Rattus norvegicus: one gene and its partner. The protein of the gene in region 2 interacts with the protein of the main gene of each other region in a pairwise test. Links are inferred from orthologs where the notes say so. Each region holds a gene or a part of one and is shown on either strand. Other genes may lie near its edges.

Region 1 (5,604 bases), on a different chromosome or scaffold from region 2:
AGCCCATTACTCCAGCAGGCACACATGTGCTCTGATTCTTAGTGAGCAAGGAGAAGTACTAGAACTTTTTTATAGCAACACCACATGAGATTAGTTATTTTTGCTGTAGTGGACTTCAGGTAAAAAAAAGCTTAGAATTGGGCAACTTCCAAGTGCCTGCAACTTACAGTTCAATTTACATGTTTGTTTCTATATAGTTACGCATATTAAAACGCATATTAAAGACTACAGGCTATTCCCCACTCATCTCTTAGAGCTTGCACTATATTTTTATCTTCAGGCCACAGGCAATGCAGATTTTTTTTTAATGTAAAATATTCACAAGCCAGTTTAGTGCCATTAGAGCCATTACACTGTTGTTGGGACACAGGTAAGTAGTTTTGTCAGTAGAGCAGATTAGGGTTAAAATGATAGCATGTTTCCTTTTCAAATACTCTTACATATTTAAGAGTAAAGTTTTTCCTAAACTTTAAAAATAAAGTCTGAGGTTCCTGTTGGTTTAATTAGGTAGCCAGAACAGACCATGAACTCCACATCCTGGAATTTTACGTGTTGGTTACAAGTGTGTACTGCCTTCCCTGGCTCATGCTGTCTGTCTAGTCTTAAATGTTTTGAGACACAGGGTATGGCTCTATAGCTCTGCCTGGCCTGGGACTAGTTATATACTTGCCTCTTTATTTCCTGAGTACTGGACTAAAGGTGTGTGCTACCACCCTCCGAGCCTGGCTCTTACATTTTTTTAAATGTGGTTTTTTTTTTGTTTTTTTTTTTGTTTTTATTTATAAGTATAGTGAGTGTGCTTGTGGAGGACAGGGGAAGAATTAAAGCTCTCCACTATGGGCCTTAGGGGGGTCAAAGAAACTTGGGGATTGAGATTTGGTGACAAGGGATCTTATTTACCCACTCTTCTTGTCTTGCTATCCCCTAGTTTAATTTTTGAGAGAGTCCCATGTAAGCCTCTAATTTGTTGAAGAGAGCTGGAACTATTTACCTAGTCGTCCCCCCCCCCCCATACCTGTCAAATATCCATGCTTTAAAGGTCTTGATTATTTTGGCCTTTTGTGGTAATAGGTCTTCGTTTTGATGCTGAGTCAAACCTGGCCTATATTAGGCAAGGGCTTTGCCACAGAACTATAACCCACCCTGCCTGGTCTTTTTCTGTCTTTTTGCTTTAGCACTACATTTCTTTAAAAGGCCACCAGGTGGCTTTTTTGACTGTCTGGGATTTTGTTTGTTGTGATTTAGGCCTGGTGTGGAAGTCCACCTTGGGAGTTTACTTTTTAAAGATGGGGGGGGGAGTTCAGGCCAATCAGGTCCACTTAAGAGTGGAGCTTTGCTGCTAGCTGCCTCCTTTAGAGGGGGAATCTCATTTGTAAACTAGACTGGCTTGGAACTCACAGAAAACAGTACCTGTCTGAAAAAAGGAGTATGACTATAACTAGCACATTTGTAATGTTTTATTTTTACTCATTTTCTGTCTGTGAAATGGGAAACAATTTAATGAATATTTTTACTGTGCATTAAATGAATATTGTATAAAGTAGGCTTTTTTTCTTTCTTTCAGCTACAAAAAATTGCCCAAGCTTGTGTGACATCAACCCTGTCAAGTGTCCATGATGCTGGGCCCTGAGGGAGGTGAAGGCTATGTGGTCAAACTCCGTGGCCTACCCTGGTCCTGCTCAATTGAGGACGTACAAAACTTCCTCTCCGACTGCACAATTCATGATGGGGTCGCAGGTGTTCATTTCATTTATACTAGAGAAGGCAGGCAGAGTGGTGAGGCTTTTGTTGAACTTGAGTCAGAAGATGATGTAAAATTGGCTCTGAAAAAAGACAGGGAAAGCATGGGACACCGGTATATTGAGGTGTTCAAGTCACACAGAACCGAGATGGATTGGGTGTTGAAGCACAGTGGTCCAAACAGCGCCGACAGTGCCAATGATGGCTTTGTGAGGCTTCGGGGACTCCCGTTTGGATGCACAAAGGAAGAAATCGTTCAGTTCTTCTCAGGGTTGGAAATTGTGCCAAACGGGATCACACTACCTGTGGACCCGGAAGGCAAGATTACAGGGGAGGCCTTCGTTCAGTTTGCCTCACAAGAGTTAGCCGAGAAAGCTTTAGGGAAGCACAAGGAGAGAATAGGGCACAGGTATATTGAAGTGTTCAAGAGCAGTCAGGAGGAAGTTAGGTCATACTCAGATCCACCTCTGAAGTTTATGTCTGTGCAGAGGCCTGGGCCTTATGACAGGCCTGGCACAGCCCGGAGGTACATTGGCATTGTGAAACAGGCAGGCCTGGATAGGATGAGGTCTGGTGCCTATAGTGCAGGCTATGGGGGCTATGAAGAATACAGTGGCCTCAGTGATGGCTATGGCTTCACCACTGACCTGTTTGGGAGAGACCTCAGCTATTGTCTCTCAGGAATGTATGATCACAGATACGGAGACAGCGAGTTCACAGTGCAGAGCACCACCGGCCACTGCGTCCACATGAGAGGGCTGCCCTACAAAGCAACGGAGAACGACATTTACAACTTCTTCTCTCCACTCAACCCTGTGAGAGTTCATATTGAGATTGGTCCTGATGGAAGAGTGACCGGAGAAGCTGATGTTGAGTTTGCTACTCATGAAGAAGCAGTGGCAGCTATGTCCAAGGACAGGGCCAACATGCAGCACAGATACATAGAACTCTTCCTGAATTCAACAACAGGAGCTAGCAATGGGGCTTATAGCAGCCAGGTGATGCAGGGCATGGGTGTGTCAGCTGCCCAGGCAACTTACAGTGGCCTGGAGAGCCAGTCAGTGAGTGGCTGTTACGGGGCCGGCTACAGCGGTCAGAACAGCATGGGTGGATATGATTAGTATTGTAGGAACATTTGGGTTATTTCAATCAGAAAATTTCACAGGCAGCCAATAAACAGTCAAGAGCAGTTTATAACTCTAGAGGAAGCTGGGGGACCCACTTTGCACCATGAGTTTGTGAAATCTGGATTAAAAAATTACCTCTTCAGTGTTTCTCATGCAAACTTTTCTTCTAGCATGTAATATTGAGTAAACTAAAAACTATTTTCTTCCGCTTTTCTCAATTAACATTTTTGGTAGTATACTTAAGAGTGATGTTATCTGAGTTAAGTAGTTTAAGTATGTTGAGTGGATCTTTCAGCACACCACAGTGAACACACTGGGGGCATGTACTTTTCTGGAGAACTCAAGGTGCTAGATCCCTGATGCAAAGAGAAGCATTTCTCATGTTCATTCTAGTTTATATTTTCATTTAAAATCTTTAGGTTAAGTTTAAGCTTTTTAAAAGTTAGTTTTGAGAATTGAGACACAATACTAATACTGTAGGAATTGGTGAGGCCTTGACTTAAAGCTTTCTTTGTACTGTGATTTCCTTTTGGGTGTATTTTGCTAAGTGAAACTTGTTAAATTTTTTGTTAACTAAATTTTTTTCTTAAAATAAAGACTTTTTCACAATGACTGGCACAGCTTATCTACTCAGCAAAAGGTAGCAACCTGGGTGGAAGAGAAAGACTTGTTAACGTCATCTTCCAAAGGGGACTTGAAAGTAGTGGTAGCTGGGTGGTGTCTCAGGAAGATTGGGAAGCTGAAGATGACATGAGCTCAAGGTGGTCATCTTGGTCTCCATAGTTCTAGGCCCGGCATTTATGGCTTTTAAAATAAGTGGTATATGCCTTGTTCCAGACATTGACCACAAACAGTCCACCATAGACAAGGAAGCTCAGTCCTTTTCTTATATATAGTACACTGTAAACTATTGAAAAACTGCGCATTTTTTTTCTTGCATGTATAGAAGGATGCTGTGTGTACAGCTTTGTGTCTCTAGATGGTGACCAGAAGAGGGCATTGGGTTCGCCAGTAACTGGAGTGCCATGGTTACTGGGAACCCTACTTGAGTCATGAGGGGTCTCATACTTTACTTTTCTGATCGAGTGGGCATTGCATCCATGTGGATGTTTCTTTTTGAGAAGTGCTATTAAATATGGAGCCAACTGTAGCTCCTGTATGTTTCTACTTGGAGCTTATGCATGGCAGTTATTAATAAGGTGCAGAAGGTTGTTCTGGATGTGTTCAAAGGACTGAACTTGGCAACAAGTACCTGTGCCTCCTGACAGTTTCTTCAACTCAGCAAGTGTCCAAAGTGTGAACCCTAATACCATTCCCTCAGGCTTCAGTACTAATAAAGACTTGGTCCACATTTTCAGAATTTTCACTGATTGCTTCACCCCAGAGCTAGGACGAACTATTGTGGCTAGTGGTAGAAAGAGACCCTGGCACACAGGAAGTGGGAAAAGGTGAAGGGAAGGGTGGGACAGTAAGGAAGGTATAAACTTCTCCAATATACCAGTTAAAGCTAGGTCCCACTTGCGGAAGGTTGCACTTTGAAATGGTTCCACCAGCTACTGAACTCAAGATCTCTTGGTGGACTCAGACCACTTAAACTGCTCAGGGTGCACTAGATTGGTGGTGTGCTGACTGGATTTACATAGGAATGAGGGACTGCCTATGACCCAACCTGTGTAGTAGAGGCTGGACAAACTCAGGTCTCATATCAGGAAAGTCCAGTAGCAGAGAGGAGTTGGTTAGTGTAAAGCTAATCTGACTTCCTGTCTAAATCTATTCAAATAGCCCTGGTCATCCATTCATTGCCTATAGTTAACTCTTGTTAAGAAACCAAGGAGCTTAGTAATTGTATATCACAGCATTTAAGCATCAAAACCTGTTTCAGCACAGTGGACATTTTATAAGACAGAGGTAAAAATACTGCATGTTGTGCTGGGCATGTATCTGCTGGAGACTGGCTTATGTAAGGCCTCGTGTTCATTCCTAGCACTGAAGGAAAAACTGGTCTTTAAGAATTTAAATTTCTGCTAGCATACTTAAGACTGGCTTTACACTTGAAAGATTGCCTTCTAGTTACTTGAAGGCCCACAAGGGTTCCCAGCCAGTGCTAACTTCAAACTCTGGCCTGATTTTGAACTCTTGATCTTTCTACTTCTACCTCCCAAGTGTTGACTATTTGGTTTTTTTGTTTTTGTTTTTGCTGTTTGCATGTGAGTGCAGGCACACATGTGCCATGGTAAGTGGAGATAAAAGAACAACTCAAGTTCTGGCTCTCTACCTTGTTGAGGCAGATTTCTGCACTGTGCCTAGCTGGCCCTTGAGCTTTCAACCATTCCATCTCCACCTTTCATCCCTGTAGATTGGTTCCTAAGATCAAACTCTGGTCTTCAGGCTTGTTGGGCCAGGGCTATTACCTACTGAGCCATTTCTCTGGCTCTGTTTGACATTTTAGCTTTATCTGTGGTCAATAGGTTTTTGTTTTCAGTTTTTAGACACTTGTCTCACTTTGTATCCCTGGCTGTCCTGTAATTTTGCAAACCAGGCTGGCCTTGAACTCTCATCTGCTGCTTAAGTGCATGGAATTTTGTATCACCATGCCTGGCCAAGTGAGGTTTTGGTTTTGTTTTTATTTGAAAATATCTTCGAAGAAAGTTTCTTTAGCTCCTAACATCTTTTAGTGCTTTGCTTGCCTTTGTTGTTTCTGACACAAGGTTTCAACTGTAACCCAGGCAAGCCTGGG
Region 2 (6,284 bases):
TTAGTTAGGTCCAGTCCTTTGGTTCTCTAAGGCAGTTAGGCCTGCCCTTTGTTGCATTTGCACTTTTGGGAAAAGACAGTGCCTCTTCTCTGTGGGCACTGTTAAGAGGCTGGTCCTCTACTTGCAGGCTGTGCGCTTGTGCAGTTACTGTTACCTTCCTTTTACAGCCATCCCTTCTAGAAGCACAACGCTGGCACTTGCTCTCTGAGGAGAGGCTGCTGCTGTCTCCCTCTTTCTCTCCTCTGAAGCAGTGCTTCTGAATAGCAGAAAACCTTTAGCCACCATATCCCACCAATGCTGCCCTTCTGGGAACGATAGCAATCCTAGGTTTTTAAACAGTTCCTGAGTAGGCCATTCAGATATGGACATGCCTGCTATCAGGAAAGAGGTGGAAGTGGGGAGCTGGCTATGTTTCACAGGTTCCTGACGTGTGGTCAGTGGAGACACCGTGTTTAGATATGCCGCCAAAGCTCCTCAAGTTACCTAACATCTATCTTACATCTTTGGGTAGAATTACTCTTCCCTAAGCTTTACCAGAAATACTTCAGGATTAGATACCAGCACTCCCACTGTGTGTATCAGGCTATGGAACTTTGATATTGGCAAGGAAACCATACTTGTAGCCTCTTCCTCTAGATTTTTCAGGCAGTTATAAGAAAATAAATAAAATATGAAGGGCATATTAGGTAATTTGGCTGATTACAGATTTTTTTAAAAAACAGAATATTTTAGATACGGACCAGGTTTGAGGGTAGCACAGTAGATTTGAGCGTGTAGTTGAGACCAGAGTTGATCTGCCGTAAGTCTATGCTTCACTGTTATTTTGTCTCCCGTGTTTTACTCTGCTTGTTCTCTTCATCACTCTTCTATAAACTGCTTTTGAATTATTGTATGTGTATGGGTGTTTTGCCTGTACATGTACCATGGGTGTCTTGTGGCCGTGAAAGGCAAGAAGAGGTTTTGGATCCCCTGGGATTGGATTAACAGACAGGTGTGACCTACCTTGTGGGTGCTGGGAATTGAACTTGGGTCTTCTGGCAGAGCAGCCAGTGATTTTAAGTGCTGAGCTATTTCTTCAGCCTTACAAGCCGCTTTTTAAAATCGAATCTAGATTTTCTTTCTTTATGTATCTGTGTCTGGTGTGCATTATAGGTGTGTGTATGTTATTATGTGGGGGATGCACATCTGTGTGAGTGCACATGTGTGCACATGCATGTGAAGGTCCAAGGGTGATGTCAGTAGTCTTCTTCACTTGCTTTGCCACTGTATCCTTAAAGTGGGGTCACACTCAAGCCTAGAGCTTGCAACCAGGGGCAGTCTAGCTAGTCAGCATGCTCTAGGAATCAGTCTATGCTTTCAGGCCACCAGGACAACGAACTATTATTGTGCTCGGAGTTTCCAAACTTGGCAAAACTCGTACTTGCCAGACAGGTGCAATGGTTGTGGAGCCATCTCCCCAGCCCTGGTAGCAGTTGTTCCATGCTTTCTTCCTTTTAGCTCTAATGGGCCTCTTCATTCAGGTTCCCGGGTGAGAGCCTTCATACATCTTCTCACTGCTCACCTGTGCTTATGTATGTCTTATGTCTGTGGGTGCATACACAGATGTTCTTCTGTATATGTGAATGCATGTGGAGGTTGTAAGTTGACATACAGTGTCTTCTTCAGTTGCTTTCCACCTTAGTTTTGAGACAGGATCTCTAATGTAACCTGAAACTCATCTTTTGACAAGACTGACTGGCCAGCAATCCCAGGGATCCTCCTATCTCTGCCTATCCAGCCCCAAGCACTTCAGCATCTGAACTGTCTTCCCTGTGTTGGTTTTAGAAAGGCAGGCCAAGTTTGAAAGCCTACCTAAGCAAATGCCAGGGAATAAATATGTAAAATGCTTAAGAGCAAAACTTTTTAGCATCCTAGTTAAACTGGGGGATATTCTTTTAAGCACTTGTTTTATGATTGAGGGCTGTCTGATTGGGGTGCCTTAGGATCTGCAGCCCGCTGTTTAGATTATGTTTGTAAGTTGGAGTCAAGATTACCAAATGGAAAAATTAGAATGAAGTCAAAAAGGAATGGAAAGACAACAAAAAAATACCTTCTCTTTTCTTCATCACATGGACTTCACCCTAGAAAGACTAATAATTTACCTTTCCAGGCGCCTAGCCCAGAGTATAAAGCGTAGGGGCCAGAGATGCGCGACTTGATAAGAAAACTTGCTGATTGGTGCTGCTTAGTCTCTGTCAGCTTGACACAAACTAGAGTTACATGGGAAGAGGGGTCAACTAAGGAATTGCCTGTCAGGCTGACCTGGAAACATGGCTGTAGGCCAGTGTTTTATTAATGATTACAGTGGGAAAACCCAGCCTACTGTGGGCAGTGACACTCTGGGTAGGTGGTCCTGGGTTGTATAAGAAAGCAGGGCAGAGCAAGCCAGTAAGTAATGCTCCTCCATCAATTCCTGCCTCCATCAGGAGCTCACAATACCTACTCCAGCTCCTGAATGTTTGGTGCCGTCTTCTGGCTTCTGCAAGGACATAACAGATGTATACATATACATACATTTTAAAAATAATACAAATATTTTAAAAGCATTTCACATATGTAGAGGTAATCATATCAATTATGATAAGTTGGCTGGAAGCCATTGTATTTCCCTTTCAACTTAAAACTTTGACATGTGGACTGAAAATTGATTTGAACACATTCTTAAATTGTTTTTATTATTATGAATGTTAATGACTTCATATTTCTAATAGAAACAATAATTATAATATATTTGGTAGAGTAAATGCTATAAAACATTGTCCCCAGTCTGTTCTCTTAGCATATAGACAGCTATTTAAGTCTTGCTATTAGCCACATTTCTCTAAGTAAAATGAAATCCTGACACACACATACACACACACACACACACACACACACACACACACACACACACACCCAATGGAACCCTCACAGAAGACAGAGTCTGACTGTGGTTGCATCTCTGTGGTGCTTAGACTATGGGTATACACTAAAAGCATTACCTTCTCCTGATCCCCACCACTAGCTGATGTGTTTATTCAGCTAGCTGAGCCAGCTCTGGCAGAAATAGCCCCACAGGATGATTCATGCTGTATACTTGTGTACCAGAGTCTCACTCCCATCAGGGATGGGGTGAAAAATGGAGGTTAGAGTTCAAGAAGAGCAGTGTCAGAGCCAGAGGCAAGTCCTTTGCTTGCTAATCTGAACCTGGAAGCTGTGTCTTTAAACCTTTGTATGTCTCTTCATAGACCCTTTCTGGAGATTTCTGAAAGGTGATCGATCCTTAGGCTCTGCTCATCTATTAGTCTGCCTGAATTTGAATTTTTGTCTGTTGCACGCCTGTCTTCGTATTAATCAATCCTCTAATGGCCTTGGAAGCAGGATGTCCTGCCAACTATGGGTATAGGCAGAACACCAAATGAGATGGAAGAGATGATTAAATATTAAACTCTTGGCTATCAAGGTGGCTCAGCAGGTAAAGGTACTTATCACCAAATCTGAGTTTGATCCCAGGGACTCGTGTTGAAAGAGGATGTGGAATCAAGTTGCCCTCCTACCTCCACACTACTGTACCATAATTCTCACAAGCAAAACACACATAAAATTAAGTTAATCAGTTGATTTTTTTTTTTTTTAAAGAATGATGATCCCAGCAGTTTTTTTCTGAGTGGGGGACAGTGAGAGAACATGCCAAAAGACCTGTGTTCTTACCTTGAAAGTCATTTTATGATAAAGATTTATTCACTCACTCCTTTCTCTTCTGTTGCTTGCTCTAGGGTAACCAGGAGCCAACAACAACTCCTGACGCAATGGTTCAGCCTTTTACTACCATCCCATTCCCACCACCTCCACAGAACGGAATTCCCACAGAATATGGAGTGCCACACACTCAGGACTATGCCGGCCAGACCAGTGAACATAACCTGACACTCTACGGGAGTTCACAGCCCCATGGAGAACAGAGTAGCAATTCACCCAGCAACCAGAATGGATCTCTCACGGTATGTGAAGTCGGAGACGCAAGGTGAAATGTTCACCTTCTCAGAAGACAGACAGAAAGCCTTGAGTTAGTTTAGCCTTGCTATGCGTTGCCCAGCGTGCATGTGCTGACTGTTCTTTCCTAAGCTGCACAGTGCAGAGTTTGAACTAAGCCTCACCACTGCTGCCTGGAAGCAACCTTCCTGCACCCTCCATTGTATGAATCCGCACCCAGCCTCATCTGCACAGTCTCACAGGCTGCCTCACACAGCCTCCTCCTTGCTCCTTGGCGCTCTAGGCCATTTAAATGACTTGTACTTCCCTCCTGGTTTTCCTACTCAGCAACGGGTGTTGTGATGCTTCCTTCTCCTCTTGTTCAAATTTCAGATGTGGCAGCGTTCTGAGTGCCTTCTCTGCATCCTTACCCCACCAACTCACTCTTTACTTAAGCCAAAGCCAGGTGTCACCGATCCTCACTCTTCATGTCTACCCTCAGTCATGAAGGACGTTAGCAAGCGCAGTTCCACAGTGGTGCAAAGTACAGTAGTGCTCAGTTCTCCCCGGCGGAGGGCAGAGGGCGGAGGGCGGAGGGCGGAGGGCGGAGCTCTTCTGCTAGCCGCTTGGGGTTGATTCAGCTGACTAGAGATTAAATCACAGCCTGGCCTCAGAAGAATGAGTTTAGGCAAGTTATTTAATGTTCCTTTGCCTTGAAATAGAAGAAAAGGAAGGTCATAATGCCTACCTCAAAAGCTGTCAAGAACATTCTCATGAACTTGGTGGCACAGGCTTGTATCTTTGCAACCCAGGAGTCTGAGGCAGGTGGGTTGCCATAATTTAAGGTGTACTGGAGCTACAAAGAGAATTCAAAGCCAGCCATGATTCATTAACAAGATCCTGTCTGAAACTTACAAGTATAAAGGGTGCTGGACATGCACACTGCACTCTCAAGCTGCCACTGCCTCTGTTTTCTCAAGCACAGTATTTATATTGATTATTTGGGAATTTCATATAATGACCCTGATTACTCACTTCCCAGTCCTCCCAGTCCACACCCCTGCCACAGAACCCATCGGTGATGGAGAGCTGCCCTTCAGCATCCTTATCACAGCTTCTAAGAATTTTCTTAATTTCCAGTCTAGGCTTCATAGCAGCCACAATGGTGTGTGTGTGTGTGTGTGTGTGTGTGTGTGTGTGTGTGTGTGTGTGTGTGTGTGATCTTTTGTGTTTTCTCGTCTATGCTATGGGTGTTTCTGCCACCTCTTTAATAATCTAGTACAGTTAGAAAAACATCCAAGCTCTGCACTTGGTTTTCTAGTCTCCAGCTGCCCACCTCTGACTTTACCCTTACCACTTGACAAAGGGAAGAAAGTGTCCCAAGCAAACAAGATACACACCTACCTTACCATAGCTGCAGTCGCCGCATGGTCTGTGGGGTGGGGTTCCAAGTGAAATGCACGCTTGTCGGCATCGAGCTGCTGTCCTGTTTAGATGGCACCAGATTAGCACAGGGCACCTTATTCAGACTTCAAGCATCTGGAAAAGACTCACTTCTAGAAACTAAACTTCTCCCTTGTATCATATGCACAGAGCCTGCAAAGGCTTTCACTTAATTTTCAGACAATTAGACACCTCCATGGGAAAAACAAAAACCATATTTACTTGAAAACATGCCATCTTTCCTATGATGGCTACTTCTGTGTAGACACATAATTTTATACCCATAAGTAACGTGCAATAATGGACAGTTGGTTTGAAGGAAGAGTCTGGATCTGAGAGTTAACAAGAGGCTTCTTGTAGCATTTGTTTGGGTGTGGGCTGTACAAGCTGCTCTGTCAGCTGTGTTCGTGCCTTTCAGATGACAGTGAGCTCACAAGCTCACTAGAACAACTGCTTCTACCAAAGGACTAGAAAGCGGAAAAATCTATCCCAGTCTTATTGATATTTTAGCACCCACTCCAGTTGTAGGATAGTCAATGGTCTTTGTTATTGCTGTTTCTTCATTTCTGCTTTTGTTGTTTTGTCTTTTATCCTTTGGGGGACAGTTTCAGTCTTTTGTGTGTCTTTTTGGGAAACTATTTTCTCTGAGTCAATTTTCACAAGTAGAAAATTACTAGAGTTGATTTTCACTAATACAAAATTACTGGGCATATAAATCAGCTTATGAGTACGTGCCTTACATACATGAAGCCATGGGTTTCATTCCTCAGAACTGCATAAATCCGGACATGATGGTGCATATCTATAACCCAAGCCCTCAGAGGTGGAAGGAAGCTCACAAGTTTAAGGTC

What was found.
Region 1: the proteins of Rbfox2 (region 2) and Hnrnpf interact in binary tests that used the Homo sapiens proteins (3 or more experiments, as listed by UniProt). The link is inferred for Rattus norvegicus from reciprocal best matches to the Homo sapiens genes RBFOX2 and HNRNPF.

Annotation. Positions count from the first base shown.
Region 1 is NC_086022.1:152,773,389-152,778,992, forward strand, and holds the end of Hnrnpf (heterogeneous nuclear ribonucleoprotein F), read left to right. Parts: exon of another isoform or gene 1-1,564; 5' UTR 1,565-1,613; coding exon 1,614-2,861; 3' UTR 2,862-3,479; downstream 3,480-5,604.
Region 2 is NC_086025.1:110,745,087-110,751,370, reverse strand, and holds part of Rbfox2 (RNA binding protein fox-1 homolog 2), read left to right. Parts: intron 1-3,794; coding exon 3,795-4,019; intron 4,020-6,284. UniProt on the Homo sapiens protein: RNA-binding protein that regulates alternative splicing events by binding to 5'-UGCAUGU-3' elements. Prevents binding of U2AF2 to the 3'-splice site.